Linked DNA regions of Caenorhabditis elegans. The protein of the gene in region 3 purifies or fractionates together with the protein of the main gene of each other region. This does not show direct contact. Each region holds a gene or a part of one and is shown on either strand. Other genes may lie near its edges. The genes, in order: ech-7, gpa-10, dpyd-1 and nit-1.

Region 1 (5,140 bases), on a different chromosome or scaffold from region 3:
TAGGGGTACTGTAGTTCTAGAAATATTGTTTTTTTTAGTTTCTGCGAGTTCCTAAAAAACATCGTGGAAATTTCTGCAACTTTTTGAAAAAATTCAAGAATTTTCTGAATTTCCTTCAGAACTGTCCGAAAATTTCTGAAACGTTCTAGAAAGCTGTTGGAAATTTTAAGAAACTTTCTGAGCTTCTGAACAAAAAATTTAAATATCTGAAAAAAAACCCCTTAATTTTTGCACAGATCGAGCACGTAGAATCGTATTCAAATGCACACATGTGGCAGCACAAATCGGATATCAACGTGGCAAGTGTACACGTTCAAGTGAAAGAAGAAGCGAATGCACAAATGATTCGACACCGTGTCTCGAATATCCTGAAGAGCACTGGAGCCACCCACTCAACTGTACAAGTTGAGAAAAAGACATTTGCACACAGGATACAACAAGTGTGTCCTGGATATAAAGCTGGTTATACGGTACGGGATGCTTTGTTGCTTAGAGGACAAAATATCTTTAAAAATGACAATTTTTCAAAAAAAAAGTTGTTTTTTTTCAGGAAATGTTTTATTTGATTAAATTTAATAATATTTCTAAAAACTACAAATTTCTGATTTTTTTGTTGAATTTTTTCATTCGAAAAAAAATAATTTGGAGCATTTTTTGCCATTTTTATATTTTCGATAGTAATAATATATAAAGTATTAAAAATATCTGAAATTGTAGATTTTTCCAATTTCAGAAATTTTTAATTACTTTATTACTATCGAAAATATAAAAACGGCAAAAAATGCTCCAAATGAATTTTTTTTCCAATTTTCAACAAAAATCTGAAATTTGCAGTTTTTAGAAATATTATTAAATTTCGTCAAATAAAACATTTTCTGAATAAAAAAATCGTAATTTTTAAAAATTAATTTTAATTTTTTTCGGAATTTTCAGTTAATTTTCGACTATAAAAATGAGAGAAAGTTGAAATTTCAGAAATAAAAAAAAATCGTTATTTAAAAAATAATGCTAAAATTCTGAAAAAAATTGTTAAAAAATTGTTCCTGAAATTTATGAAATTTTCTCAAATGTTGAGCATTTTTAATTGAAAAAAAGGGTAAACATTCAAATTTTCTCCAATTTCAGGTAGTCCGCGGAAGTGTGATAAGAGAGAAGAAGCATGATCATTCACATCACCACGGGCATTCACACGACGATCACAGCGGACATCATCATTAATTTATTCCAGTAGTATTTTTTTTCTTCTGAAATTCACTTATTTATAGTCATTTTTCCCCTTTTTTTCTAGTGTCTTTGCTTTACATTTCGGGATAATTTATTGTGTTTTTGTGTGTTTTTTCCCTTTTTTTCTCCCCCAAAAACCACCCCAAAGTTCCTTCAAAGAGTTAATGAAATTAATTTATTTTTAGAAAAAAAAAACGTTTTTTTTTTTCAACTTGAAGTCCATTTGGGAGCCCGTTTCTCTGCGAAAGCTGACATTCCTTCCCGGCGGTCATTGGTGGCGAAGGTCGACTGGAACAACTGCTTTTCCATTTCAAGGCCCTGATTTAGGCTGGTTTGGTAGGCCGAGTTTAGGGATCTCTGCAAGAAATTGGGAATATAATGTCTGCCTATGTGCCTACCTCATGCCTACATGTCTACCACATACCTAGGCCCCTAGCTCATACCTGCTTACCTGCCTATTCACTGACTATTCACAGCCTTTTTGCTGCCTACGATCCTGCCTGCCTTATGCCTACCAGTCTACTTCATGCCTAGGCGCCTACCTCATACCTACCTACCTATTTTATGCCTGACTGCCTAGCTACTTGTTTTCCTCATGCCTACATATTTTACGACTACCTGCCTGCCTCTTGCCTACCTTATGACTAGGTGCCTACATGCATTCCTTCTTGCCTACGTGCCTAGCTGCCTACATGGCTGTCTCCTACTTCATGCCTACACACCTATGTTATGCCTCTGCCTACCTACCTGCCTTACTCCTAGGTGCTCATTTCTACCTACCTACATAGCTACCTTATTTATGTCTCCCTATCTGCCTGCCTACCGCATACCTACCTAAAATATGCCTGCCCGCGTGCCTATTTCATGCCTACCTATTCTTTTATTTTCTTCTAGCTTGCCTGCCTACCTAATGCCTACCAAGTTTACACCTACCTACATACCTAATTTGTGCCTACCTTATGATTATGTGCTTACATCGGCCCTACATCGTGCCTACATCTTGCCTGCCTACGTGCCTATTCCATGCCTAATAGGCAGGTAAGCAGGCGTAGGCATTCCCGAAAACGTACCTTGACAGTTTTCACAATAAGAGGAGAATTCTTAGCGATCCTATCAGCCAACAGAACAGCCTCCCCAACCAACTGCTGCACCGGGAACACCTTGCTCACCAGGCCGTCTTCCTTCGCCTCCTGAGCGCCTAGTCGGTCGCCTGATAGGCATATTTCCATGGCAACTGACTTGCTCACATACCGGGGCCATCGTTGGGTACCACCTAATCCGGGGATGGTTCCGATGGTGATTTCCGGTTGGCCGAATATTGCATTCTCTCCAGCATATACTATATCACACATTAAGGCAAGTTCCGTGCCTCCGCCTAAGGCAAATCCGTTGACAGCGGCGATCACAGGTTTTGTGATGTGTGATAAGGTGTCCCAGTTCGTGAAATAGCTGAAAATTAGGTATGTTTTGTGCCTGCCTGTCTGCCTAGATGCCTAGCTTGTGCCTACCTGCCTACATGCTTACTATACGTCTGCCTACCTAGGTTGATGCGGGCCTCATGCTCGCTGTCCACACGTCCATATACCTGCCTAATGTCTGCCTGCCTTTGTGCCTTCTCCATGCCTAGATGCCTAGTTTGTGCCTGCCTCCTTCAAACCTACCTGCCTACGTGCCTATCAACTTACATCTGTCTGCCTTCCTACGTACCTACATACTTACCTACCTGCAAGCATGCCTACCTACCTCACGCTTATCTAATGCATGCCTACCTACACGATTTTTGCTCAGCCATCTCTACCGGCCCTGTCTTCAGTGTGCCTGCCTAAATGTGCCTACCTGCCTGCTTGTTACCCTATATACCTGGCTACCTACCTACCTACCTGCATGCACGCCTACCTACGAGTCTACGTGCCTACCTTGGTCCCTACCGCATAATCATATCTGCTTACATGCTTACATGCATCTGCCTAGATATTTGTATTATGCCTACCGGCCTACCTGACTATCTTCCGGTCTTTGTACTTGACTGCGTGCCTACCTACATGCCTGCCTGCCTACCCTCAAGACAAATAGACACCATGTAGGCACGTAGGCAGGCAGGCGCCTACACCAAAACTCACTCATTCTCAAAAACATCTGCAAACTCCAACTTGGCCATCTCCTTGATATCGGCTCCGGCAGCGAATGCCTTCTCACTTCCAGTGAGCACAATCACATGGTACGACTGATCCTTCTCCACTTTCAGCAGATTTTCAGACAATTCCAGCATAAGCTCACGGCAGAGAGCATTCAGAGCACTCGGGCGGTTCAGAGTGATCAGTGCAACGTTTTCGGCGGCTCCGGTACGTGAGAGGGTAATCATCTGGAATAAAAAGTGGAATTGGAAATTGACAACACTTTTGGCTTTGTGAAATTGGACAAAAAACGGGGGATATAGTCAGGGTACTGTAGTAGTACTGTAGGATTACTGTAGTTTTGGAAAAATTGGCTTTCTGTCTTTCGAAGGGATGATGGTTTGGAGTGAGTGGGGGGGGGGGGGGGATATGAGCAGGGTACTGTAGTAGTACTGTAGGGGTACAGTAGGAGTACTGTAGGATTACTGTAGTTATGGAAAAAAAAAAATTACTGTTCGTCTTTTGAAGGGATATTGACTTGAAGTTAGTAGGGGGATATGATCAGGGCACTGTAGTAGTACTGTAGTGGTACTGTAGGGGTATACGGTAGGGTTGCTGTAGTTTAGCAAAATATGAGTTTTTAGCTTTTGCAGAGGTATTGGGTTTGGAGTTGGTGGGGGATATGATCAGGGTACTGTAGTAGTACTGTAGGGGTATTGTAGGTATAAGATAGGGTTACTGTAGTTATAGAAAAATTGGCTTTGTGTATTTTTTAGGATTATTGATTTGAAGTTAGTAAAGGGATATGGTCAGGGTACTGTAGTAGTACTGTAGGGGTATACGGTAGGGTTACTGTAGTTTGGGAAATTTGATATTTTGCCCTTTTGGGAATTATTGACATGATGTTAGTAGGGGAATATGGTCAGGGTACTGTAGTACTGTAGGGGTACTGTAGGAGTACTGTAGGATTACTGTAGTTTTGGAAAAATTGGTTTTCTATCTTTTGAAGGGATATTGGTCCGATGGTCGTAGTCGAGGTACTGTAGTAGTAATGTATGGGTACTGTAGGTATACGGCAGGGTTACTGTAGTTGTAGAAAAATTGACTTTCTATCTTTTTAAGGAATATTGACTTAAAGTTAGTAAGGGGATATGGTCAGGGTTCTGTAGTAGTACTGTAAGGATACTGTAGGAGTACTGTAGGATTACTGTAGTTTGGCAAAATATGAGTTTTTAGCTTTTGAAGAGGTATTGGGTTGGGAGTTGGTGGGGGGATATGATCAAGGTACTGTAGTGGTACTGTAGGGTACTGTAGGTATAAGATAGGGTTACTGTAGTTGTAGAAAAATCGACTTTTCGTCTTTTGAAGGGTTATTGCTTAGGGGTTAGTGGGAGATATGGTAGTACTATAAGGGTTTTTTCTGAAACTTCAATTTTCTCCGAAAATTTTCACAGAAATCTGGATTTCCGAAAGTTTCACAATAAGCCTAATTGATTTTTTTTCTGAATGAATAACTATTTGGTATAACTCAATGATTTGTTAATTTTCAAAGTTTCTTTTGTCTGTTGTAAGAATTGTTGAACGTTAAAAAAACATCTACTTCAAAAAATAGTTAAAACGGTGCCAGTCGTTGTCCGCGCCGGAGTCTGGTTTATTCAATATTTTTATATGTATAGCGGAAAAATAGAAAAATTGATAAGAGTTCAGTGATAAGGAGCACACCACCACCAACACATCATGGCATGATTCTGGGCTCAGCGAGCACACAAATCGGAGCCAATAAGGGGAAAACTGGAACTAAT
Region 2 (5,714 bases), on a different chromosome or scaffold from region 3:
AGGTTCATATTTTGAAAAAGAGATACATTTGACTAAAAGCTTCTATTTATTTTGATAATTTATTTCTTATTTTTCATATTTTTTTCTTATTTTTCATATTTTGATAATTTATTTCTTATGAAGTTTTTTTTTTTTTTTTTTTGAAGTTTTCGAGCCATGAATTCATTTTTTTTCAAGCCAGTTTTTCAGGCAAAAACTCCAAAAACTCCACTCCATATTCAAGTTATAATTATTTTAATAATTTTCACACTGTTGTAATCAAAATATTAATCAGATATGTATTTCAGAGACGAAATTTTCAATGCAATTAAATCTTTACCAAATGTAACGCTTATTTGGAAATATGAAACAAATGATTTGCAATGAGCAGAAGAAATTGAAAATATTCATTTTTCAAAATGGATTCCTCAAACCGCATTACTAAATGATGACCGTTTAACAGCATTCATGACACATGGAGGTCTTGGTAGCACAACTGAACTTGCGTATCTTGGTAAACCAGCATTAATGGTACCAGTATTTGCCGATCAAAACAGAAATTCTTTGATGTTGGCAAGACATGGAGGAGTTCTTGTAGTCGAAACGATCTTTGGAAAAGGGAACTTGTGAAAAATTCCATTTATTCAATTTTGAACGACGATCATTTTAAGAAGAACTCTAAAAAACTGGCAGAAATGTTGAGAAACCAACCAACAAATCCCAAGGAGACCGTAGTCAAATACACTGAATTTGTTGCAAAATTTGGTCCGTTCCCGGAAATGGATCCATATGGGAGGACACTTGGATTCATTCAAAGAAATCTTTTAGATGTATACCTTGTTATTATCTTTCCGTATATTTTTGGAATTCTGTCCATTTATCTTGTCGCATGTTTTTGTTTGAGAAGATGTGAAAAGTCAGGTAAAAACGATTGAACATTTTTCTTCTAAAAGAGATTCGAATAAATATGTATGTTCCTTTAATCTTATTTGGTTCTCACTTTACACTGAAAATTAGTACAAATTTTCATCAGAGTTTCAGTCACGATAAATTTCAATCAATAAAAAATGACACCACTCAAATAGAATAGGGAATAATTATTACTAATCACACACGTTGTTTGAGGCAGATACTAAATTGAAGAACAATAATTTGTGCAGAGCGATTGGAGTTCATATCATTCCCGTATCTTTGAGATTATCTTGAATAACTGTATCTATCACTGTATTGATGATTATTTGAACTTGATCCGATATTGCACATGTTTCATGGGTGTACCTGTAAAATTACGTTTTTGAAATTTACATTTTATTTTCTAGTACTGTTAGTGTTCCATACTGGCACAAAAAAGTCAAAAATATCCAAGAAGTCGAATACGTTCAGAATTCTTTTAGTTTGTAAGTTCATAGTTAGATTTTCAAAAGTGCAGTAGACACAAAACTGTAGTCTCAAAAACTCACATTCTTTTTTTGAAGTCCGGGTGAATCCCTTCTCTAAATTGTCTCCGAAAGAACTTTGTACCTTCTGAAACTGTGTTTGCTCCTGAAACATGAAACTATGAATTCAAAAACTTGGAAAACAAACCTTCAAATTTTGGAAAGTAATCCTTAATCTTCACATGTTTTACTTTCTCCTCGAACAAATCAATTTTGTTCAGGAAAAGTATGACTGCCGCTTTTTTGAAAAACTTTCCATTAAAAACTGTCCAGAACAATCTGATGGATTCATGCATACGGTTCTAAAATTTAATTTTTCGTTTCAATTTTGTGGCTGTTTGGAAAAATTACCGTCTCTTCATCCTCCGCTAACTTCTGATCAAACTCGCTAATAGCCGCTACAAAAAGAACAGCGTCAGCCTCATCGAAAAAGTGATACCACTGAAATTAAATTCTCAATTAGGAAACAAAGAAATAGTTAAATTTCCAACTTTTCGTCTTTCAGATCGTTGTCCACCACAATCGCAAATCATCAATTTGATATTGTTCATAATAACTTCGACTTGTGCAACTCCCGTTGTAGGTACCCGTATGTGAACAATATCCTGATTTGTCGGTTCAAAGCCTGGCAATTTTATACGGTCGATGTTGTCGAAGAAACTGAAAATGAATTATTAAGTTCAAATAACACAATTTTGAGATAATTTAATGTAGTTATTCAATTGATTTTTTATTGCAAAATTTGCCTGCTAGAACAAGAACATAAACAAGTTAACATCATAGACTTCAGCGATCACTATCACAATTTTTTTTTTCTAGACCTGTTAATTACATGTTCCGTTAGACCAAATGACAGATACACGAACAATGTCTGTAGTTTGGTTTTATTTGTGAACGAACAAACATATACATAACTCGAAACATTTAAATAATAACTGTGTGACATAAAAGAATATTTTAAGAAACATTTCAGACATTTTTGAAACGTGTTTTTGAATCAATTGAAACATTTTTCTATAATTCTAACTATGAATGCGCTACAAGTTTCCAAAAAAAAAACTCACTACTTGGCACTATCTGTCAAATGAAATGTGTCTCTCTTGGAATACGCGTCCTGTATTGCACTGTTTCCCCAGAATTCCTTCAGTGTATCGGCGAGTTCAGGTCTCATTATTCCATCATGAATTACCGCCATTTTCAGTTCTTCGCACATCACAGTATATCGCTAAAAGTTTTTAATTTGAAACCTAATAAAACCCGAGAGGTCGCAAAACTCACTTTATCATCGTCTTCCGTCATCTCCAAAATATATTCTCTGACGTATTCTAACAACATCTCAGAAAATTGACATAAATTCTGTATAATTAGCACTTTTCGTTCGTGTAGTTCTGTCTTTGTGTAGTTTCCAGTCATGGCTCTGAAAATAGAATGTTTGGCTACCCATATAACAGGAAATATAATAGTTATTAATTAATTTTCAAACTGTAAACAGAAAGAAACAGACACAACTCCCAAGGTATAATCAGAAACCTATTTATTTTCCCGTTGTTAATTCAAAATATTAGGTCATGTACAAGAATTATTAAAAAATCAAATATACCTCATCTGTTTCATGACAGTACTTTTTCCACTTTCACCAGGCCCCAGTAGAAGAACGGTTTGCTCCAATTGCATGTTTTTCTTCTTTTCGAGCTGTTTTTCTATTTCTCTGAAATATTAACGACAATTATGAAACATGTAACTCAAAAACTGACTTGTTAACTTTGATCTGATCCTTCATCTCGTCAGTGAGTACAAATGACTGACAGACCCCCATGTTTCCCTGAACATATATTGAAATTTTTGAAAGAACAAAAATAATTCAAAGATTATGACGATTATGATAGAGAACGCAAACTTTAATTATAGGATGCCAGCGAGATTCAACTTAGACAACGAGACAAATGAAATGACTAATCAGAAAAAAAAAAACAAAACATGTTGTCATGCCAAAAAAAAAGTTTCAGAAAGCTTGTCGAGACAAACTGAACAGACTTTTCGGCAACGAAAATGTAGATTTCACACCGGAAATAAAGTCAATTTCCACTGTATTGCTCAGAGAGAATGTACAAGTTTCGTCAAAAAAAGTTACTATTTTCATGAGAATTTTCAAATCCATCAATGCAAGAGAACATTCCTTCAAAAAAAATTATTTGAAACCCGTATTTCAAAGCCGCGCGACAAACTGAATATGTACCAAAAAAAAAAAATAAATAGATACGTAACTCGGGATGAAACCAAACTCGTTGACTAATTTTCAAAAGTCATCAACACTAGAAACGACAATATAATTTCGAAAGAACTTGTTAGACTTAAAGAGAGATAGGTAAATCCTAAATTTCAAGACCTTGTGTGACGCCATAATTTTCCATGAAAAAGCAACATGGTAGCACGTGAAGAACATAGTTACTTTAGATTTGTAGATTTGTACTTTAGATTGGGATGTTTTTTTCTTTAACACAAATTGTTTTTTGTCTCAATGTTAAAGATGAACCAGTTTTTCAAGAACGTTCAAAATGACATTTGGAAACTTTCTCTAAAACCACAGATTTTGGTTCACCGAAAAACATCTGAACACTTTTTCACTACCCGTCAAAGTCAAGAAATATTTAAATGAAATGGCGATAAATTACATTTTTGTTTGAAACCAGTTGTAATCGTTATGTTCGCAAAATTTTTCCGAAAAGCGCATGAGCTCAACACAAATTTAAAATCACATAGGCTTAAAAGTCGTGACAACACAAAAATGTAAAAAAAAAGTTGTGGAGAACACGAGAGAAGAAAAGGGAAAAAAGCAAAGTTATGATTAAATGAAATGAGAAGGAAGGTAGTGATGATTAGCGGCGGTCCTCTCCCCCCGGTTTCCTTGACTACCGCAGATTCCCAATTAAGCCTCTCTGTAACAAAGAAACTAAAAGGTGAATAACAAAACAAAAACACGAGAACAACTTCTGACTTGCATGTTGAATGAAATACACTCAAAAATCGCGAGACTACTTGAGCGTGGGAATGATCAAAAAGAAGGAAAAAAGATAATGTGATTGTTGGTTGTGTATTTGGGTTAGAGGGAGATATATTTATATTATCAATCAAAAAAAAACAGAATACCCGATGCTCTATAGGGAAACATTTATGTTGCTATGGTTTTATGATAGCTGGTCAGAAAAATAGATAGATTAGAAAAGCGTTTTGAAAAAGAGAGAACTACGCCAATTGAGTAAAGTTTTTTAAACGACACGCAAACGGAAATCGTTAGCTTTGTTGTGAGTTAAACCGGAAACAAGTTTATCTGGTCTTGATATCAATAATAACACTGGGACCAAATCTCAAACTTCACTAGCTAAAATAATAAAAAGTAAATGAGTTAAATGTCTTTGTGAGTCTGAAAACGAATAAAAGCGGAAAGATTATTGCAAAAAAATTATGTTCGAACTTTCTGATATTGAATTATTCTTGCCGAATCATGCACCACAAGATGCCAAGATTAAAATAAAATCAAGCCAAATTCGGAGTTCGTTCATTTTGTATGAAATATTGGAAAGACCGGAATTAAACATTGATAAGAATGATTTTTGAAGTTACATTTACGAACCTCAAAATAATTTTTAAACGATTTCAGATCACAAATGTCAGAATTATCACCTAAATTTTTTTGTGAAAATTAATAAACAGATCATGGAATTTTTGTCTGGGATAATATGGTGACTTTAGAACATTTAGAGATATTTATAGCAAAAAAAAAGTCAGACAACGTATTTTATTTATGTTTTCGACCAGCTGGAACCAGAATCTCCAATTTTGAGAATTCTTGCTCACGAGCAGATTTTTTTTTCGCTGACCAGGGTAAATTCCAGAAACCGACCGTACCTATGAAATGCCCACTCTCGAAGTGTTTAGGAAATTAGATAAACTGACAAGTTTTTGCATTTGAATTTTGAGGTGAAAGAAGTTGTAGAAACGTACAGATTTTTAAAAATTAGTTAATTTCCCGGAAGTTTTAATTTCTTCAAATTTAAGAAAAATGAACAATAAAATTTCAGCTTCAGGATTAGAATCACTTCCGAAACTTTTTTTTTGTTCTGAACTTCTATTGTTTGATATACAAAGAGTATAACAAAATTACTTATCACACTTCCTACGCCAAACGAAATCTCCCGGCGTTCACTAGAATAATCAAAATTTTAGGAACTCCAAGAAATGAAAGACACGTTGTCTGGAAAACTGTTTTTGGTTTGGTGAACTCATGTATCACCTGCATAA
Region 3 (8,127 bases):
CATTTTTTAATAAATTTTTTATTGAATTTCACATTTTTCAAGCACATAGAAAGTAATTTTAATTTGGCAATTGGTTTCAAGCTAGGAAATTTCGGAAAAATGTTGAACTACCTGTTTCCTGTACATGAACCCGTGAAGTGAAAAATCAACAAATTTTATACTCGTATGTATCCTCATGCTCTTAAAATTACTAAAATTTTATTTTATATTGATAATACATCTATGTTAATTTTTCAGTACCGAATTTCTTGTCCGAATTTGCAAAGACATATATTCTGCAATGGCATACTTGGAAAGTATTCGGATAGTTCACGGACATTTCACCCCAAACAACATACTCATGGACGGTGAATTCCATGCAAAAGTGTGCTCGCCCCGAGGGCCATCACATCATGCTCAACTTCGTTATTCTGCTCCAGAATCAATTGTGAATGTAGGTGTCTTATTTATTCAAATATTATAATACTCTTTCAAAAATATTTTTCCAGAACGAATTCACTCATAAATCTGATGCTTGGGCCGTTGCTACAACGGTGTACGAGATGGCTTATCAGTGCCGACAGCGTCCATACGAAGAACTCACCAATGAGCAGATAGTTGATAACGCGTGTGCTCTGCTGGATCACCAACCAAATGCGGTGAGAAACTATCAAAATGAATAATTTGATAAATATTTGAAACTTTAATTTCAGGTTGTACCGTTGATGCCAACAGTTTTTAACTATGAAATCTTACAACTTTTGACGCGATGTTTCCGGGTGGACCAGTTGGAGCGGCCGACGTTTGAGCGTCTAGTCAAGCCTTTCCAAGACTGAAATAATTCATCTCAAAACAAAAACTTTACATATTCCACATATTCCTCCTTGACCCATTGATCTCTCCCAAACTCCATTTCTTCTACTTATTCAGGACTCACTTCATTGAGATTTCACTGACTTCTTTCCCAAAGTTTTAACCTACGAGTATATAAGAGAATCGAACTGAAAAAAAGATGAGATAGTTGAAGAGGTGACAAGGACATTGTCAAATAGTGTAGAATTTTTCGGCGCAAACTAACAAAAAAAAAGAAGATATGAGAAAATAAACGTGATCTTTTGGTTTGTGATCTTACTTTACCCGCCAATCAATCATCATTCTGCAATTGTTTTAAACCAATATTTCTAAACTGCTAGTTGTAAAAACTGACCTCTGCCTTCCCTCTTCACTATCTCAATGAGCCCGACCCAAGACAAGAGCAAGTGAGCCAATCGACCTGGACCACAGGTCTAATAACCGTTGCGCATCCCCCTCCGTCTCATTCCCTACAATTTGCTTTATTAACCCGTCTCTCTGTCATTGTTGACTGTCGATGTCTCTGCATTTTTTTCTCAGTTCTAGAGATCAAAAAGTATTTGTTTTCCGCTCCTCTTCCCAGAATTTTAAACCAGAATCAAAGTTTCAAAGTTTTAGTGGTGTACTCTGTTTATATGGTTTTTACGCGTATTGAATTTTTATTTTTACTTTCTTCAACAAATAAAATGTTTTACATTTTCTTAATGCTTTCCTTGGAGTAATGTTTATACCCTAATTATGTTCAAATGAACGAATTTAATTTTGAAACTTCTCAAAAATAGTTTTAGCAAATTTTATGGGGATTCAAAATTTCAAAAAATGAGTTCATTTTAGCAATAATCTTCAATTTTGTTTTTTTTATTACGTGTCGCAGCTGTCAAAAATTGATTATTTCCTCTTGAATTATCATCTCTTATTGCATATTTTGATTGTTTAGATCACGTTATTTGGTTAAGGCACTTTTTAGGCCTAAGGGTAACCAATATTGGTTAATTTTGGTTACCTAATGACTTTAAATGTATTTTAATCAACGTAATAACATGACCCAAACTACCAAAACATGCGATAAACACTGATAATTCAAAAAGTCAGATTTGGACCTCTAACGTGGCCAACGATTTCAGTAAGAATGAGCTCTCTTTTTCAAACTTTTGAATCACCAATAACATTTTAACTTTTTTTTTGAAAGGTCTCATTACGAAAATTGTTCATTTAGGCACATTTTGAGTATATAATCCCAATTCATCACGCGACATCAATCCTGACCAATTCACTTGATATGAATAATAATAATATCAAATCTCTCTCAAAAAGAGAATAAACCTGCTTTGAAAAATAAAAAAAGATAGGTAGACTTATTTGTGTTGACCGCTCAAATCGAGTGACAAAAACCTGATAAATGAACACGTGGCGCGAGATGATTTGCAGTATATAGAAAAAATCGGCTGTAATCTTATCAGTTCTGTTCGTTGATACAATCTCGGCATTCATTACCTTTCTTTTTCTCCTACTTTATCATTTTTCCTTTGATACAGTCAACCCCCGTTTTCGTTGGTCAGTCGACGCGCTGTCAGCGTATCGAAAGTCGAGAAAACCTTTTGTACCATCGCTTTGAAGTAGGATGTTTTGAATCAAAAAAAAAATCTAAAAATTGAAACTTTTTGATGGTGTCTATTCTCAGTTAAATTTATTTAATAATTTATATTATTTGACACTCATGTCGTACGACTTTTATGCGTTTTGTTTGTCAATTTTCATATTTTGTAAATTTTTCAACATCATATTTACAGCCATGACTCCAAAGCCAAATACTACTAGTCCAACCAATAATCTTCCTCTTCTCAGCAAGGACTCCCCGGATATCGAGGTATAGTTCTTTTAAAAAGTTCAAAATCATATTCAGTACTAAAACAAAGTTTCTGTTTCTAAGTCTGCCTTTTTGCTAAACTGATAAGACTTTTTGATAAGCAGCGCACGTGCAAGTGGCACGTGCAGTCCGATAGCAAGTTTTGGGAGAAACCTTTGATCTTCTGTTAATGGGCATACTAAACTTAAAAAGTTGTACAAGATAATTCCGATTTCAGAGTCTCCTCATCTTGAACCCAAAAGTACAAGACAAGGCAAATGCAGTTCCAAGTGCGGTGACAAAGAAAAACAAGCACAACTGGAAGAGAAACGAGGAGAAAGGATGTGGATCTGTAATTTTGGAACTCAGAAGATAAAACTTCATTTTCAATTTTTCAGACCTGCGGAGAATCTAAGCTCAAGAATGACTTCCGAGACATCAAGCACACTACGCTCAGTGAGCGCGGAGCTTTGAAGGAAGCGATGAGGTATAAAATAAAGGACAGTGTGACGTAGTGATCTATGAAAAATCAGATATAATGTGATACTGATTATTTTAGGGGTATTGTAGTTCGGAAACATTTTGAGAGAAGTGTGAAAGAAGTTTGAAAGGCAAGCAATACTAATTTTCGGAACCTCTACATTTCGTTTATAAAGTGCAATAAGAAAATTTTGCAATAAATTAAAGGGAGTGTAGTGTCAGTTAGGATTTTGTTCAAGTTTACTTTTAAATTGAAAGAATATCATACATATTTGAAAAATATATTTAAAAACAATTAATTAAAACATAACAAAATAATAAAGTTCGTGGAAAAAAAACTTTTTTGGTCGGCTTTTAATTTGAATTTATTGGTTTCAATAACTTAGTAACTGACAATTGTAAAAAAATGTAAAAATTGAATAGAACATCCTCACCGCTCTCTTTATTTTCATAAAATTAATTAGTTTTAAGTCTAAAGTTTCCTGCAAAAAGGACGTCAGACTCAAAATACTCACAGTACATTCTAACAGCCCTATTTTTGGAAAAAGGGAAAAGTAGATTCAGCAACCAACTTTGTGAAGTTAAAACTCATTTCTAATCATTTCTAAACTATCTTATCTAAACCCATGTACTTGGTATTTTTTTCAGATGTTTGAAATGCGCCGACGCTCCTTGCCAAAAAAGTTGCCCAACCCAATTGGATGTCAAAAGCTTCATAACTAGCATTTCAAACAAAAACTACTACGGAGCAGCTCGTCAAATTCTTTCTGACAACCCACTGGGTCTGACCTGTGGAATGATTTGCCCAACATCGGATCTTTGTGTTGGATCGTGTAACTTGCAAGCAAGTGAAGAAGGCGCTATCAACATTGGTGGTCTTCAGCAGTATGCTTGTGACGTGAGCCATATGAGTCTTAGTTGAAGTGTTATTCATTGTAATGTTCCAGGTGTTCAAGCAAATGAATGTTCGTCAAATCGTATCAAAGGAAGTTCGGGAGAACCGCAACGCTTCTCATAAGGAGCAAGTTGCTCTTATCGGATGCGGACCGGCCAGTATTTCATGTGCATCGTTTTTGGCTCGTTTAGGATATACAGATATTACTATCTATGAAAAGAGAGCTTACATCGGAGGGCTTTCATCTGCTGAAATTCCACAGTTCCGTCTTCCTTATGACGTTGTTGACTTTGAAATTCAGCTTGCCAGAGACATTGGAGTCCAGATTGAAACAAACAGACCTTTAGGAAAAGACGGTCTAACACTTGCCAAATTGAAGGAACAAGGAGCTGCCGCTGTTTTTATTGGTATCGGAAACCCAGAACCAAAAATTGATCCTCTCTTTGAAGGATTGACAATTGAGAATGGATTTTATACTAGCAAAAATTATCTTCCAGCTGTCGCGGCTGCTAGCAAACCTGGTAAGTTGGACATGATAACTTTCATTAAGGTTTTCGTTTATTTTTATAGGTATGTGCGGATGTAAGAGAACTCCACTTCCAACAATGAGAGGACGTGTCGTTGTGCTCGGAGCAGGAGATACTGCAATGGACTGTGCAACATCTGCTCTCCGTTGTGGTGCATCTCGTGTCACCATTGCTTTCCGCAAAGGTTTCACTGGAATCCGTGCTGTTCCTGAAGAGGTTATTCTTTTTTTCAAATGACAAAAATAGCTAAATGTTCATTTCAGATGGAAGCAGCCAAGGAAGAAAAATGTGAGTTCCTTCCATTCTCAGCGCCACGAAAAATCAACGTGAAGGACGGGCGCATTGTCTCGATCGAATTCAACAAGACCGAACAAGATGACAACGGCAAGTGGTGAGTAGTGTAAAATTAGCGCAAATAAGGAGAATTCGGGTGAAATTAGTCATTTCGTTGCAGGTACGAGGATGAGGAACAGATTGTTATCTTGAAATGCGACTATGTGATTTCCGCATTTGGATCCACGTTGAAAGAAGACGCAGGTGTGTTGAGCGGTTTTTTTTCTTAAGAACTAACCGAGAGCTGACTTTGAAGATTACTATCACCGAGAGTTTTTGGAAATAAATAGTGATCTCTGATTCGCCAGCAAAAACATGTTTTAGCTTAGATTGATCATTGAATTCTTACAGTTTTGTCGGCTTTGCAACCATGCCAGTTGAATAAGTGGGGAGGAATTGAAGTAGATTCAACAACACAACAAACTTCGGAAAAATGGGTATTTGCTGGAGGAGATGTGGCAGGAGTCGCAGAAACAACCGTCGAATCTGTCAATGATGGAAAGGTTTGAAAATCTTAATGGGCAGAATTCTTATTTTGGCAAATATTTAAGATTGCCGCCTGGAATATGCATCGCTACATTCAATCTCTTCACGGCAACCAGGTGTCCGAGACCCCAGAACTTCCACAATTCTTCACCCCAATCGACGAGGTTGATATCTCCGTTGACATGTGCGGCGTTAAATTCGAAAATCCATTCGGACTGGCTTCTGCTCCTCCAACCACTTCTGGACCAATGTGTCGCCGTGCTTTCGAACAAGGATGGGGATTCATTCTCACCAAAACATATGGATTGGACAAGGACTTGGTCACCAATGTCTCTCCACGTATTGTCCGAGGATCTACCAGTGGACCACTTTATGGACCAAACCAAGGATCATTCATGAATATTGAGCTTATCTCAGAGAAATCCTGTGAATACTGGCTTCAATGTATTAGGGAGTTGAAACGTGACCATCCAACTAAAATTGTCATCGCATCGATCATGTGCGTCTATAACAAGGCTGATTGGATTGAGCTTGCAACAAAGAGTGAGGAAGCTGGAGCAGATATTCTTGAGCTCAACCTCTCTTGTCCACATGGAATGGGAGAAAAGGGAATGGGATTGGCTTGTGGACAAAGCCCCGAAATTGTAAAGGAAATTTGTAGATGGGTTCGCGCTTGTGTCAAGGTATGTTTTCCACTGTAATGTGAAGATTTTAAATTGCGAATTTAATAAATTTCATGAGTTTAGATCCCATTCTTCCCAAAAATGACTCCAAATATCACTGACGTTCGTGAGATCGCCAGAGCTGCTAGAGACGGAGGCGCAAGTGGAGTGACTGCAACAAATACCGTTTCCTCACTTATGCACATGAAGGCTGATGGAAATGCTTGGCCAGCAATTGGATCAACAAAAAGAACCACATACGGAGGAATGTCCGGGTCGGCTATTCGTCCAATCGCTATGAAGGCTGTCTCATCAATCGCTAACGAACTAGATGGTTTCCCAATCATGGCGACCGGTGGAATTGAAAGCGCAGAGACTGGACTCGGATTCTTGATGGCAGGAGCTTCAGTCCTCCAAGTTTGCTCCGCAGTTCAGAATCAAGATTTCACAGTTGTCGACGATTACTGTACTGGACTCAAGGCACTTCTTTATCTTTCTGGCGCTGAGTCACTCAAAAACTGGGATGGACAATCGCCACCAATCGAAAAACATCAAAAAGGAAAACCTATCTTGCTTCAAGGACAAAAGAAAATGCCATTCTTCGGAAAGTACAGGGATGAACGTGAAAAGCTTGAGGCTATTAAACTGTCAGAAAGCAACCTTTTGGACACCGAAAACTATCACTTTGCTTCGAGACCAGACACTCAAGTTTCGCGTGTCCCAACTGTTGAAGATGTCATTGGAAAAGCCCTGCCACGTATTGGCCCATATGTCACACTCGACAACCAAGAGCAGAAGGTTGCAATTATTGATGATGTAAGTATCTCAATATTGTTATGAACCGAAAACATTTTAATTTCAGGATATGTGCATCAATTGTGGAAAGTGTTATATGACATGCAATGATTCTGGATACCAAGCTATCACTTTTGATCCAGTCACCCATCAGCCACATGTTACGGAAGACGATTGTACTGGATGTACTCTTTGCTACAGGTACAAATATTACAACCCACTCCCACAAAAAAATTTTAAAAATTGTATTTTAGTGTGTGCCCGATTCCGGAATGTATAGAAATGGTGCCAAGAACTGGGCCATGGAAGGCTCCAAAACGTGGTGTGAAGCCATCGGTCGAGCCAGGAACTCCAAAAGTCGTCAAAGTTGACCAACGTGGAAGAGTTATCCTAGATACTACTGGTGGAATGCAGTAACTTTTATTTGTTTGGTAGTTTTTCTGAATTTTCGTTTCACTTATCACTTACTTTCTTCCGATTCGTTTTTTTTGTTACATCTTCTAGTGTATGCATTGTGTTTTTCTGTCTAAATTTTATTCATGCTAAATCTTCCCTCAAAATAAATTACTCAACAATTAAAAGGACATGTACAGAAAAGGAATCCCCTGAACAGAATGGATGAGATGCTTCTTGGCGCTTTCTAACTCGCTGTTGACAGTTAGGCTATTGTCTTTCACGTCATTCGTTTGCTCAAAGCTCCACACTAACTGTTTGTGTGACAGAGAGATTGGAAGAAAACGGCAAGATGGTTCAAATCTTTGTCCGAACAATTCGTGCTACTGAACTATGGTGCAAAGATGTTTCAGTTTCCGAATATATCTGATATTAGATATATTATGTAAAATTCACTATGCCATTAATATGTAGTACTCAATGACATCATCTTTGAAGGTGACGTTCATTAGAATAATATGCCATGTTCCGAAAACGCACCGGTAAACAATACCTTCTGCGGGCAATAAATACTCGGATCAAACTGACGTTACTACGAAAATTCGTCATTTGTGAGAAAACATTTATGATTAAAAAATTGATTTTCTTAAATAGTCATTTCAAAAAATCTGTAAAGAATAAGTACTACATATGTAGACAATTACAAATTCCCATATTTCTCATGTGAAATTATTTTCAGGAAGTATAACTATTTCTATATGTTTTTTTTAATGAAAATTGAAAAAAAACTCACAGTCAAAAAGGAGAAAATGTGGATTTTGTAAATGTGCCAAACCCAAAATATCGATGTCAAAAAAATCTCAAGAAAATTTAAAATTT
Region 4 (4,690 bases), on a different chromosome or scaffold from region 3:
TTATCGATCGGAAAACGAACCATTCAGGAAATATGATGTTTATGGATTGAGAACCTGGAGTTATCCTATTTATAAGTAAGTCGTTGGGGTTTTTTTTGCGGGTCAAATGCTGCTTTTCTGTTCCTGTTGTTCCGAAATGTTTTTGACAAACTTTACATCTCTAGAAGATTTTCTGTTCAAAAAAATGTTCTGCATCTTCTCTTTTCTAGTGTAACATCTAGAGTTCAAGGCGTCAAAATGTCAATCGAAGAAATAAAAAAAGAAGCTAGGATATTCTTTTTTATTGGGCAAGAACCACAGAGCACATTAAAATGCAAAAATTGTTTGATTTTTCATTTCAGATATGTGTACGGACGAGAGGGAGACTACAGACGGCCATATTCATTTGATAGGAATTATGGATTAACACCCAGCTACACGCCTCCGCAGTTGACCGCTGAAAGTCGACCGATAACAACCAGACGAGGGTAAGAATTCCATTTATACCTGTATCTAAAATTTTCAAATTGTTTCAGATACTCCGGCTATTCCTATCTTGCCAATGAAACACATTATGACATCACCAGCCGCCCGAAAAGTTTGAGCTCCTACATGTACAGTAACAAGTATCTCGGAACCACGTGAGTATTTTTTGCACGTAGATAATGATGCATAGAGTCCGTTACAGAGCTGCCCCATGGTACTGGTCATGTTATGGAAACAGTGGTCTTCGTCACTTCAACAGCTATCGCCCACACAACTATACAAGCTCAACCGCTAGCTGGTCTCGTTATTATTAATGAATTTTCCTCCAACTTTTGTCCTCTTCTTCTTCATCGAATCGATCGATTTTTCCTTCCCCTGCCACGTCATCGCTTAATCATTTTCTGCTTTCCCCCTTTTATTGCGATCGACACAAAAAAAATTCACACAAAAATTGTTTTATTTGTAAATTCATTGGACCTTGAAGTCACACCTCCAAGACTAGAACAATAAATTTTGAAATTAAATTCACTTCTTAACTACTGTACTCTGTGAATTCTCATTGACCTTCAACTGGAATACATCCGGCCTACTGTAGTGTCCGACGACGTCTAAATCCATTTTTCCAAGAGCTAAATCAGAAAGATCGAATTCCGTGTAGCGAATCGTTTCTTTTGTGAAATCTGGCTCCACGAGCACAGTTCCAAGTGGATCAACTGCGCATGATCCACCGCGAATCAAGACTTTATCTTCACCGTGTTCTTTTCGAAGTGGGTGATCCAAGGGATAGTCGGAGGATTTGAGGAATTGACATGCAGATACTACGAAGCATCTGGAAGAAAATATTTGGGAGAATTCGAAGTTTGAACGGTCAGGGGCCGAAAACGGTCTGGGGTTCCAAAATTGGAGGTGAAGACCCATCAAGTTTGAGATAAAGTATTCTAAAATTTGGGCCAAGGGACTCGAAATTTAGAGTCAAAGATCTCAAAATTTTGGATCGAGAGGTTTCAAAATATGTGGCTAGGCAATTTGAAGTCAAGGGTCTTTACTAACCTTCCTTCTAATGCAATAGTCCTCATGGTAGAGAGCCAGACATCTCTATCGTCGACAGTTGGAGCTAGATAGATTTGGATTTCTGAAATTAATTATTTCTTGAATTTAGGTGTTAAATTAAATTTACTAACCTTTACTGTAAAGCGTCATTCGATATAATGGCATATAATTCTCCCAGCAAATGGCACTTCCAATTTTTCCAACACTTGTACTAAACACAGGCATTGTTGAACCATCACCTTGTCCCCAAACACATCTTTCTAGAGCAGTTGGCAAGAGTTTTCGGTGCTTTCCAAGGTAACCGGAGGGTGAGTAAAAGAATACAGAGCAGTATAAGGTTGAAGCTTCTCGTTCAACTACTCCGATTACAATATGGATATTATTCTGAGCTGCTAGAGATTCGATGAGCTTCGATTCCTCGCCGTTCTCTTCGATGGCGTTTTCGAAGTATCTATAACAGAAAAGTTATGCCTCGGCCGATTGTGAAGACATCAAAAAAATGTAGAAAAAGAAATGGCACATATTTTGTCAGTTGACAATTTTGTGATAAAACAAAAGACACTCGAGTTGTATGTGATTTCAAAGTTTGGTCATCCCACCTTTTAAACTCTTTCCTTCCTTCTGGAGTTCGTGTGCCCATTGTGATTCCAAAGCTGTTCCATTTTGGATATCCACCAATAAAAGCTTCAGGAAAGAGCACTAGTTCAGCTCCATTTCCAGCTGCTTCTTCCACATTTTTCTTAACTTTTTCCAGAGTTGCTGGTTTATCAAATAGTGGGGTCCCCGCTTGAACAATTGCAATTTTTGGCATTTTGAATCTGAAAAAAGGAGCATAGGGTTTGAAAAGAAGGATATTTTTCAGCTAAATTTGCTTCGTGGCCGAGCTTTCCATTTTCGCGGCCACAAATAAAAAGCCCACCTGGCCACCTATGCAGCTGAAAATACTGTCTGCACAGATGTTTTAAAAAAGTATGAAACCAAGAAAAAAAGCTATGGGATGTTACAAATACTAAAAAATGTATTCTTTTTATATAGCGACCAACAAGTCATCAAAGGCAAAAATGAACTCGGCATGGTCTGGCTGACGAAATGAAAATGATGACAATTAGTGATATGATAAGAATGTTTTCTTTGAGGGTTCATCGATGAGATTGTAAATTGTCACGTAGGCAAGTTCAAAATATCATTCATTAAAAGATGATGATGATCTATTGTTCTATTCTTTTGTAGTCACTTATAGTTTGCCTGTAGCAAATTGGGTTGTTTCGAGGGGACATTGAAGCGACAAGATCAATATTTTATGAACATTGCTCAAGAATGTTTGCTTAAATATTTATTTTGAACGAAAATGTCTATTTAGTCGCTTTTAATTGTTGAATTCAGATTTAAATTGGAAACTGTGATTTAAACTTCCGCGCAAAACATAGCGGGAGATCGGAGCGTCGTTGAAATTTTGTACTTTAATTTTTTTTTGTTTTTTTTTCATAATTTCCTCTTTTTTTTCTTTTTTCCTTGCTTTTTCCACACTAGTGTAAGCTTAAAATTTTCCAGAAAACATGTCAGATGATGGGGGCTTTCTTTCAAGTCAAAGTTCAAGGGAATTAACAGAAGATGACCATGAAAAGCTGGCAAAACAGGTATTTAACTAAAACTGTATTTTTAAAAACGCTTAAAAATGAATTTTCAGACGAGTATAAGCGATTTCAAGCGAAATAAACTGGAAATTGACGCTCGAAAAAATTGGGACAAATTCTATCATCGAAATAAAAACAATTTCTTCAAGGATCGGAATTGGAGTGCAGAAGATCTGAAAATGATGTGCCCAGACATAGATTTCGAGGTTTTAATTCTGAAATTGCACTGAAAAATTTTTAATTTTCATTTAAGAAAGAAATCTCCTATCTGGAAGCTGGATGTGGCGTCGGCAATATGCTTTTCCCATTAGTCGCTGAAATTCCAAATCTGAAACTTTTTGCATTCGATTTTTCGGACAACGCGGTGAAATTGTTGGAGGAACGCGCAAAAGAGCTTGAAGTATGTGCAAAAAACTCTGATATGAAACGTTTAAAATTAAATTTTCAGCTTTCCGTAGCAACATCTGTCGTGGATTTGTCAATTCCTTCAGTTTCATCTCCATTCGAAGAGCAAGTTGATCTTGCTACACTTATTTTTGTGCTATCCGCGATTCATCCCGAAAAACATCAAATTTCAGCGGAAAATGTAAGAAAAATGATAAAAGTGAGTGCTTTTTTAATTTCCAGCAACATAAAATTGGAATTTTTGTTCCAGATTGGAGGCTCTGTTGTAGTCCGGGATTACGGTATCAATGATCACGCTATGATTCGTTTCGGCCGGGAAGCAAGAATTTCCGATCGATTTTATGTTCGACAAGACGGCACCAGAGCTTATTATTTTGATTTGAATGAGCTTTCGGAGGTTTTTGAAAAATCTGGATTTCGATGTGTTCGGAAGGAGTATCTACATAGAATGACGGTTAATCATCAAAAAGGCCTGAAAGCTCCGCGGATTTTTGTGCAAGCCAGGTTTATTAGAGAGAGTTAATTGTTTTTTTTCAAATGTTTATTCGATTGTTTTGTTCTTGTTAACTAAAGTTGTTAATAAATTTATTGCAATTTCTTTGAATAATGCTCTTCATCGATCTCGCTCAGCGTTTTTGCAGCAATCTCCGGCGAAAGATCCCGTTGTTTTTCAGCAAAAACTTCATATCCAGCAAGGAATTTCGGAACAGTCGCCGAACGAAGAAGTGGCGGGAAGAATGACAAGTGGAGCTGCCAAAATGAGCAATTTTCAGTCAGAAAAGAGCCAGTTGGGGCTCCAGACCATCCCATCATGTAGGGAAATGAGCATTCAAAGACATTGTCGTACTTGATGAGTAGAGAACGAAGAATTTCAGAGAGTGATTGCTTTTCAACCTGGAATAGCGGAATTTTTGCCATTTTTAAATTATAATTTCAAATTTACGAACCTCTCCCAAATCAGTGAATCGTTCCACGTGTCGATTTGGTAGAAGCATTGTCTCATACGGCCAGAATGCCCAGTACGGTACGAGCCAAGTCCAGTGCTCATTTCTCATGATTATTCGTTCCTTTTTTAGAGTTTCCTGCTCCAGATAGTCCATCAGCATAACCTTCCCGTGCTTTTCGAAATGTTTCTG

Evidence for each region.
Region 1: the proteins of dpyd-1 (region 3) and ech-7 fractionate together in Caenorhabditis elegans (co-fractionation; one large-scale study listed by BioGRID). This does not show direct contact.
Region 2: the proteins of dpyd-1 (region 3) and gpa-10 fractionate together in Caenorhabditis elegans (co-fractionation; one large-scale study listed by BioGRID). This does not show direct contact.
Region 4: the proteins of dpyd-1 (region 3) and nit-1 fractionate together in Caenorhabditis elegans (co-fractionation; one large-scale study listed by BioGRID). This does not show direct contact.

The regions. Positions count from the first base shown.
Region 1 is NC_003279.8:14,366,188-14,371,327, forward strand, and holds ech-7 (putative enoyl-CoA hydratase, mitochondrial), read right to left. Parts: upstream 3,587-5,140; coding exon 3,345-3,586; intron 2,674-3,344; coding exon 2,295-2,673; intron 2,287-2,294; exon of another isoform or gene 2,210-2,286; intron 1,582-2,209; coding exon 1,432-1,581; 3' UTR 1,429-1,431; downstream 1-1,428. Other genes in the region: slc-30A5 (Proton-coupled zinc antiporter SLC30A5), read left to right, coding at 237-470, 1,126-1,218; bbs-1 (BBSome complex member BBS1), read right to left, coding at 5,136-5,140.
Region 2 is NC_003283.11:6,851,573-6,857,286, forward strand, and holds gpa-10 (Guanine nucleotide-binding protein alpha-10 subunit), read right to left. Parts: upstream 3,240-5,714; 5' UTR 3,232-3,239; coding exon 3,170-3,231; intron 3,124-3,169; coding exon 3,016-3,123; intron 2,833-3,015; coding exon 2,694-2,832; intron 2,641-2,693; coding exon 2,480-2,640; intron 2,076-2,479; coding exon 1,907-2,075; intron 1,857-1,906; coding exon 1,767-1,856; intron 1,718-1,766; coding exon 1,564-1,717; intron 1,522-1,563; coding exon 1,440-1,521; intron 1,258-1,439; coding exon 1,152-1,257; 3' UTR 949-1,151; downstream 1-948.
Region 3 is NC_003284.9:5,465,249-5,473,375, forward strand, and holds dpyd-1 (Dihydropyrimidine dehydrogenase [NADP(+)]), read left to right. Parts: upstream 1-2,621; 5' UTR 2,622-2,623; coding exon 2,624-2,698; intron 2,699-2,915; coding exon 2,916-3,029; intron 3,030-3,075; coding exon 3,076-3,164; intron 3,165-3,805; coding exon 3,806-4,055; intron 4,056-4,104; coding exon 4,105-4,573; intron 4,574-4,622; coding exon 4,623-4,795; intron 4,796-4,842; coding exon 4,843-4,970; intron 4,971-5,033; coding exon 5,034-5,116; intron 5,117-5,263; coding exon 5,264-5,415; intron 5,416-5,463; coding exon 5,464-6,081; intron 6,082-6,144; coding exon 6,145-6,876; intron 6,877-6,922; coding exon 6,923-7,056; intron 7,057-7,109; coding exon 7,110-7,272; 3' UTR 7,273-7,435; downstream 7,436-8,127. Other genes in the region: ddr-1 (Discoidin domain-containing receptor A), read left to right, coding at 238-433, 489-638, 693-815. UniProt on the Caenorhabditis elegans protein: Involved in pyrimidine base degradation. Catalyzes the reduction of uracil and thymine. Involved in the degradation of the chemotherapeutic drug 5-fluorouracil.
Region 4 is NC_003281.10:3,920,088-3,924,777, reverse strand, and holds nit-1 (CN hydrolase domain-containing protein), read right to left. Parts: upstream 2,572-4,690; 5' UTR 2,552-2,571; intron 2,518-2,551; 5' UTR 2,435-2,517; intron 2,334-2,434; 5' UTR 2,327-2,333; coding exon 2,115-2,326; intron 1,967-2,114; coding exon 1,647-1,966; intron 1,598-1,646; coding exon 1,516-1,597; intron 1,295-1,515; coding exon 991-1,294; 3' UTR 905-990; downstream 1-904. Other genes in the region: ZK1058.9 (uncharacterized protein), read left to right, coding at 1-75, 342-467, 516-620, 668-779; metl-6 (tRNA N(3)-methylcytidine methyltransferase), read left to right, coding at 3,072-3,152, 3,203-3,355, 3,403-3,549, 3,598-3,753, 3,805-4,077; ZK1058.3 (putative galactose-1-phosphate uridylyltransferase), read right to left, coding at 4,140-4,448, 4,502-4,687.